2 linked regions of the Stegostoma tigrinum genome follow. The protein of the gene in region 1 purifies or fractionates together with the protein of each later gene. This does not show direct contact. Links are inferred from orthologs where the notes say so. Each region holds a gene or a part of one and is shown on either strand. Other genes may lie near its edges.

The links. Proteins that work in one complex are often made in the same cells at the same time.
Region 2: the proteins of larp7 (region 1) and nop56 purify together in Homo sapiens (affinity purification with mass spectrometry; 3 studies listed by BioGRID and IntAct, with this or other methods). This does not show direct contact. The link is inferred for Stegostoma tigrinum from reciprocal best matches to the Homo sapiens genes LARP7 and NOP56.

The regions. Positions count from the first base shown.
Region 1 is NC_081354.1:63,790,738-63,794,488, reverse strand, and holds the start of larp7 (la-related protein 7), read right to left. Parts: upstream 2,925-3,751; 5' UTR 2,749-2,924; intron 1-2,748. UniProt on the Homo sapiens protein: RNA-binding protein that specifically binds distinct small nuclear RNA (snRNAs) and regulates their processing and function.
Region 2 is NC_081354.1:189,150,585-189,154,335, forward strand, and holds the start of nop56 (nucleolar protein 56), read right to left. Parts: upstream 2,271-3,751; 5' UTR 2,168-2,270; coding exon 2,165-2,167; intron 1-2,164. UniProt on the Homo sapiens protein: Involved in the early to middle stages of 60S ribosomal subunit biogenesis. Required for the biogenesis of box C/D snoRNAs such U3, U8 and U14 snoRNAs. Part of the small subunit (SSU) processome, first precursor of the small eukaryotic ribosomal subunit.

The DNA.
Region 1 (3,751 bases):
TAATAAAAAAGAAAATAAGACATTATATCAAATCCTGTCTTCCAGATACCCTTCTCATTCTATGATTTCTAACAAAGAAGACTTCACTATGCTGTAAATCAATGCTACAAGTTCACAACTTCTACTTAAACTCAAGTTGCAGCACAACAGGCTGTTCAGCCCATTGTGCTTACATAAGAGCTAATCAATTTCACTTGCTACTCTTCCGCAACAGTTCTGTTAATACTTTTTGTTTCAAACATTTATTTCGAATTTCTTTTGAATGTTACTACGTATCTATCTTTTCAGACATTGCAGATCACAACTAGCTGTGTAAAAATGCTCCCTCACTTTGCCTCTAGCTCATTTGTCATTCGTCTTAAATCTGTGCTGTCTGGTTACAGACCCTTTGCCATTCACAACAGTTTCTCATTGGTCACACTATCAAAGCAATTCATGATTTTGAACACATCTGTCAAATCTTAAACTCTCCCTGCCGTAAGAAGGAGATGTGATGTTATCAAATTGATAGAGATAAAAATGGGGAGAGAGGGGGAGGCGCCCCCTCCCCCTATTTATTTCAGAACCCCCTTCCCCTCCCCCATTTCTGAAGGAGGGCCTAGGCCCGAAACGTCAGCCTTCCTGCTCCTCTGATGCTGCTTGGCCTGCTGTGTTCCTCCAGCTCTACACCTTGTTATCTCAGATTCTCCAGCACCTGCAGTTCCTACTATCTTTAAAGCATTAGTTGCTGTTCTCTTAAAAGTGTTCATGATTGTATACACACACAAAAACTGAGTCTGCCCAACAGGTGACAGCAGAAATTGTTGTTTTACAACCACACGTATCAGATATTGGCTATGATACCGACAACTATACTTTTGGTGGCTGGGTGGAACAGCTGATTGTTAGTGCACGTTCCTATCAATACTCGCAATCAGTTTTGTCCTTAACTTTTGGTAAGCTGGTTTAACAACGTACAGTGGCATCATCTCAGTCTTAACCAGTGATAGGTCTCTCACCTTCATGTCAGGAGGTTGTGGGTTAAAACCTTTGCTCCACAGAACAGAACAGCAAAATCTACACCAATAATTAAAGACAGATTACATGGAAGGTGTCATTAAAAGGGGCTCAACCTGCCCCCTCAGGTGGACATACGAGATCTCATGGTATTTTTCAAAGTCCTCCTTCATTCTGAAAACCAACAGTTCTCCTTCAATCAAACTACTGGAAAACAGGCCATTTTTTATTGGTATCAACATAGGTGCAAAAAGTTCAATTTGGTCACTAATCACTGGATGATAGTTTCTAATTTAAGTAATGAACAGGAATCAATAATTCAACCTGGAAGGATGTCATCATATCCCAGCTACCCAAAAGACCAGAAATATATCAGTGTTAAAACTGAAACCATTTGAATTTAGTCATGTAAACAGAGGCTAAAAGTGGCAAGAGAAAAATGAATAAAGGCCACAATTTGGGCTCAAAAAAAAACCATGCTGAAAATTCAAAATAACTAATGATATATTATCAAATCAGATTTAAAACTGGTTTAGAAGCAGGAGACAGACCATAGTAGTTGAAGGTTGTTTTTGTGACTGGAAGGTTATGTCCAGCAGCATACCAAAGGGTTCAGTGCTGGGCCTCTTGCTGTGTGTGTTGTACATTAATTGTCAAGATATGAATCTAAAAGGTTTCATCAGTAAGTCCGTAGGTGACACTATTGATGTTGCGCTAAATAGTGAGGAAGACAACTGGATTACAGGATGTTATAAATAGGTTGGTCAGATGGGCAGAATAATGGTAAATGAAATTTAATCCTGAAAAGTGTGAAATTATGCATTTTGAAATACTGACAAGGGCAAAGCAGTAAATGTGAAAAGCTAGGACCCTATGAAGGGTCTACAGATTCAGAAAGGCATTAGGGCAGGCAAGAAGGTGTATGGGATGCTTGCGTGTATTAATCAAAACATTGAATACAAGGGGATTTGAATCCTCTTCAGAGGGTGCAGAGGAAATTCAAGAGTGTTGCTTGTGCTGGGGCATTTCTGGTAAGAAGAAAAAGTGGACAAGCTGGGATTGTTTTCCTTTGAGCAGAAAGGACTGAAGGAGTACAAAAAGGAAGGGCGTAAATAGGCTAGACAGGAAGAAACCTACCCTCTTAGTAGATGGATCAACTACATAGGGCATGCATTTGAAGTGAGCAGCATGAGGTTCAGAGGGCATCTAAAGACTTGGTAATGGATATCGGGAATTCATCACATCAAAGAGTGGTAGAAATGGGACCTTTTCAACATTTAAACAGCATTTGGATGATCACATGAATCGCTAATTACATACAAAGATACAGACTAAGCGCCGGAAAGTGGGTCTGGAGTAAATAGGGTGCTTGATGATAACAGTCTATGGCTCATGTGAGTGGAATATAAGCAGTTATCATCCAAAGGGGTAGGATGTTCATTTTGCACACACGCTTGCGAACCCCACTAGGTCAAATGCGTGTAAAGATGTTGCTACTTACCCTCTGCGTGTTTAAACCCCCCGAGAGAAGTGCGTGTGAACGAGAGTGAGTGCAGCCTACCGATGCTATCCCTGACTTTATGGCATTAAAATGCGAGCAGCGCCCAGACCCGGAAGGAGCCACATTCTGGCCACCTGCACAACGTTCCAAACCTCAGAGTACTCAGCAGCAACACCGTGTATCAAACTAAATAAATATCATATGCTGCACCGTTCATATCAATTCAAATACAGAAAAAAGAAAGCAAGTACCTTATGATCCAATTTCTCCAAATTCCGACTGTGAGCTTTTGTTTTTGCTATCTTTTATTTATTTGGATTGAATTGTTATTTTTTTCTTCCCCCATCTACTCGCTATAACATTAACAGCAAACATGACCAGTTTTTGCTCGCACCATTTTCACTTTGTTTATTGGAGCTCGGGTAATTGTGTCGCGGTTTGATGACGTACTGCGGCGGGAACATTCGAGATTTGGCTGAAAAATTTGAGCTCGAATATGCTACTTGCGTTTTTTTCCTCACCCCCCGCCCAAGGTACCGAATCGGAGATGGTAATTCTGAGGTGTGCTTTATTTGTTACTTATGTCTGATCGTTGCTGTCAGTTAAATCCTGTTCTGACTGAGTTTTAGAGCCATAGACATGTACAGCACGGAAACAGGCCCTTCGGCCCAACTGGTCCATGCTGACAGAGGATGAGCTAACTTTTAGGAAAGAGAAAGTGATTAAATAGGTCAGTTTCAGTTACGTTGTGGAGTGCCGCGGGGCTCAGGACTGAAACCTTATCTGTTTGCAACATACATCAGTGATTTGAATGAAAGGATCGAGTGTGTTGAAGCCAGATTTGCTGACAATTCAAAAATGAGCAAGCAAGTTTTGAGGAGGATGCATTGAGTCTGCAGAGAAATGTAGATAGATTAAGTAATTGGGCAACAAATTGGCTGATACAACGTGGAAAATAAGTGGTTTCCCAATTTGCTGGGAAAATAGAAAGCAGAGTATTTACGTGGAGAAAGACTGCAGAATGCTGCAATACAGAGAGATTGAGGTGTTGTCAGCAGTAAAAGTTCACCAGACTGATTCCAGGGATGGCGGGTCTAACATATGAGGAGAGATTGACTAGGTTGGGATTGTTTCGCTAGAGTCCAGATGGATGATGTGGAGATCTCAAAGAGACTAATAAAATTCTATCCAAATTGGGCAGGGTAGATCCAGGGCGGATGTTCCCGATAGTGGGTGTGTCCAGAACCGGCGGTC
Region 2 (3,751 bases), about 130 Mb from region 1:
CAAAACCTCAGCTTTCCTGCTCCTCTGATGCTGCTTGGCCTGCTGTGTTCATCCAGCTCCACAATTTGCTCAAGTTACTGACTTCAGCCTTTCAGGTAACTAGGAGACTAAATCATGACTTTTTACAACAGCATAATAAAACAAAAGCTGTGGATGCATATCGAGTGCAGTTCCTTCAACCTTGTCCCAAACTTCCAGGAAGAGTACAGCACAGAACCGTATGAACACTTCAAACGTGCAAACAGGGCAAAATTAAAATGTGCCCAGCTCCCCAACTGCCTTTCTGACTATTCTGGAACTGGTGGGCTATTCCTCTCCAGCAAGCACTGACGATACTTCAGAATCCGAGATGGACACGGCAGATAATGCAGCCTCGATGCCTTTGCCGTCTGAAGAGGAGAGCAAATCTCTTTTGGGCGCAGGTGGTGAGCTACTGTGCATTATATGCTGCCTGGATCAGAGGTAGCGTTGGAGGAACCTGATCTGGTGCTAAATGCCCCAGCAGGAATTAGTAAAAAAAAAACTGGCCTCTGTCCTCAGACGGGAGCATTTGTAGTTTGCTTTAAGGAAAGCAACCAGGCCAACTACTCTCTTCATTACTGGATCATTTCAGCCACAGCAACAACCTAGTGAATTCTTTTTGCACCATCTCTAGTACAATGACACCCTTCCTATAATGTTGCAACCAGAAACACACAGCACCCTAGCGGTGACCTAACTAACATTTACAGCTCCATTATAACCACGTTGTGCTTCTACTCTATGCCTTGGCTAATAAAGGCAAGTATGCGGGCTAGACACAGTAACAGTCATCACCATCGAAGACATACACAGAGATATAATCTGAACCATATTGTAAGGCACAGGAGCAGAATTAGGCCACTGAATGAGATCCAAGCCAATCTAAATACTGAACTGAAAACAAAAAATAACACTGGCGATCATAGCATGTCAGGCAACATCCATGAAACATCACGGCAAGCTAACGCTTCAAGCGTAGGTGACTCTTGGTCAGATGGCGCCTTTAGCATTTATTGTTTTCAGTACGGATTGCAGCATCTGCAGTAATTTGCTCCCGATAATCCTGAACCTTATTTTCCTCCATTTTCACCATAACTGCATTCCCCCCCAGTCACTTCGTTATAAATCTCAGCTCTGACTACCTTAACAGCTCAGATTCTACAGGAGGGAACTGCAGATTCACGACAAATGAAATCCAAAGTTTGTCTTCAGTTGCTGAGAAATTACAGCTTTCGGTTGCAGATTCCTCTACAATCAAGTCGCTTAGGAATCACCGGACTGTGGAGGGGGCTGTTTGGAGTGTCACTGGAGCCAGCATAGTGTAGCATGGCGGCTCAGTGATTACCCTCACAGTGCCAGGGACCCGGGCTTCCCTGGACTGACCTATCCCCTCCCTACCTCCCCACCTATACTCTCTCCACCTATCTTCTTTACTCTCCATCTTCGGTCCGCCTCCCCCTCTCTCCCTATTTATTCCAGTTCCCTCCCCCCATCCCCCTCTCTGATGAAGGGTCTAGGCCCGAAACGTCAGCTTTTGTGCTCCTGAGATGCTGCTGGGCCTGCTGTATTCATCCAGCCTCACATTTTATTACCCGGGCTTAGTGCCAGCTTTGGGTTCCTCCTACAGTCCAATGATGCTCGGGTGATGTGGACTGGCCACGCTAAATTACCCACGGTAGGCAGTCTGGATGGGTTAACTGGCCATTACATTCGGGTTACAGGGGTGTGGGATGCTGCTTGGGGCCACGAGACCTATTAGGATTCTCCAGAGACATTTTTTGTTTGAGATTTCCAGCATCCGCAGTCTTCTGTTTAACTTCCTTAAGAATCCTGTACATTTAACTAAAGTCACTCCTAATTCTTCCAAACTCTAATGAGTAAAGGCTCAACCTCTCCTCACAACGGGATCTCTCCAAACCTGGTATGAGGCGGCTCAAACTTCCCTGGACTGTCTCCAGCGGGCCCTTCCTTCGCAAAGGGCCTCCAAGTTCCCTCCGCACACATGGGGCGGATCAGGCGCGGCCTGACCCGGACCCTAGGCCTACTCGCCGTCGCCATGTGGCCCCGGGTGGGGCTTGACCGTCGCCTCAGGCCTCCCCACCCACACAAAGCTGCTGCCTCTCCGCCGCGCAAACCAACTCACCATCCTGCCGCACCGCCGCTGACTGAGGCCCGCGATCACGTGACGCCGCCTCTTATCCGGCCCGCCGTGCCAGTAATCCGCGTTCCCATTGGCCGCCGTGCGGCCGTTCTCGAAGGCCTTTGGCCAGGTCGCCGCCTGCTAGGGTCTCCCATTGGGTGTCCGCAACAGCCAATCCTGGAGTCTCTAACTGCCGTGCATCCAATCCAGACTTCCAGTTGGCCGCCTCGCTGCCACCCCGGGCTTCTATTGGCCGCCTACCAGCCAATCCGGAGGGGCGTTCATGCCGAGCAGCCAATGAGCTCAGAGGGCATGTTCTCTCCTGGTTCTCCCGCCCAATTGGTTGCCAGGTAAAGATCAGCGTCTATTAATTGTCCTCCAATCACTAACTAACATAAACCTTAACCATTAACTAGCATTCACTGTTAACCAGCACGTGGACGTGAATTAAAACAAACATGAAGAAGCTCAGCAGGTTTGGCAGCATGTGTAGAGAGAGAAAGCAGGGATTCAACAAGAGATGACGAGGTGTGGGGCTGGATGGACACAGCAGGACAAGTGGCATCTCAGGAGCACAAAAGCTGACGTTTCGGGCCTAGACCCTTCATCACTAGGCCCTCACCCCATCCCCCTCTCTCCCTATTTATTCCAGTTCCCTCCCCCCATCCCCCTCTCTCTGATGAAGGGTCTAGGCCCGAAACGTCAGCTTTTGTGCTCCTGAGATGCTGCTGGGCCTGCTGTGTTCATCCAGCCTCACACTTTGTTATCTCGGATTCTCCAGCATCTGCAGTTCCCATTATCTCTGATAAGTGGCATCTTGGGAGCACAAAAGCTGACATTTCGGGCCTAGACCCTTCCCCATCCCCCTTTCCTGATGAAGGGTCTCAGCCCGAAACGTCAGCTTTCCTGCTCCCAAGATGCCACTTGTCCTGCTGTGTCCATCCAACCCCACACCTCGTTGTATCAGAGATTCAACATGACCCTCCTTCAAAAGTCCATGGAAAGGTTTATATCTATTCTGGAGGGGAAGGTGTAGAAGATAGCCAGAGTCCAGATAGAGGGAAAACAGCATGGGACAGATAAACCCGAAAGAACTGCGGATGCTGTTAATCAGGAACAAAAACAGAAGTTGCTGGAGAAGCTCAGCAGGTCTGACAGCATCTGTGAAGGGAAAATCAGAGTTAACGTTTCAGGTCCGATGACCCTTCCTCAGAACTGGGTGTGAGGACCTGAAATGTTAACTCTTGTTTTCTTGCTTCACAGATGCTGCCAGACCTGCTGAGCTTTTCCGGCAACTTTGTGACAGCAATGGGCAATGATGAGCCCGTGAGATGGGGCCCAATGGTGGGTGAAAATAGGCTCATAGAATCCCTGCAGTGTGGAAGCAGGCCATTTGGCCCATTGAGTCCACACTGACTCCATGAAGATCACCTCACCCAAATGCATCCCCGATTCTTTTCCTGGAGTCTTGGATTTTCCATGGCTAATCCACTAGCCTGCAAGCCCTGGACTCTACATGCAATTTAGCATGGACAATCATTTAACCTGCACATTTTGGACTGTGCGAAGAAACCAGAGCATCGAAAGGAA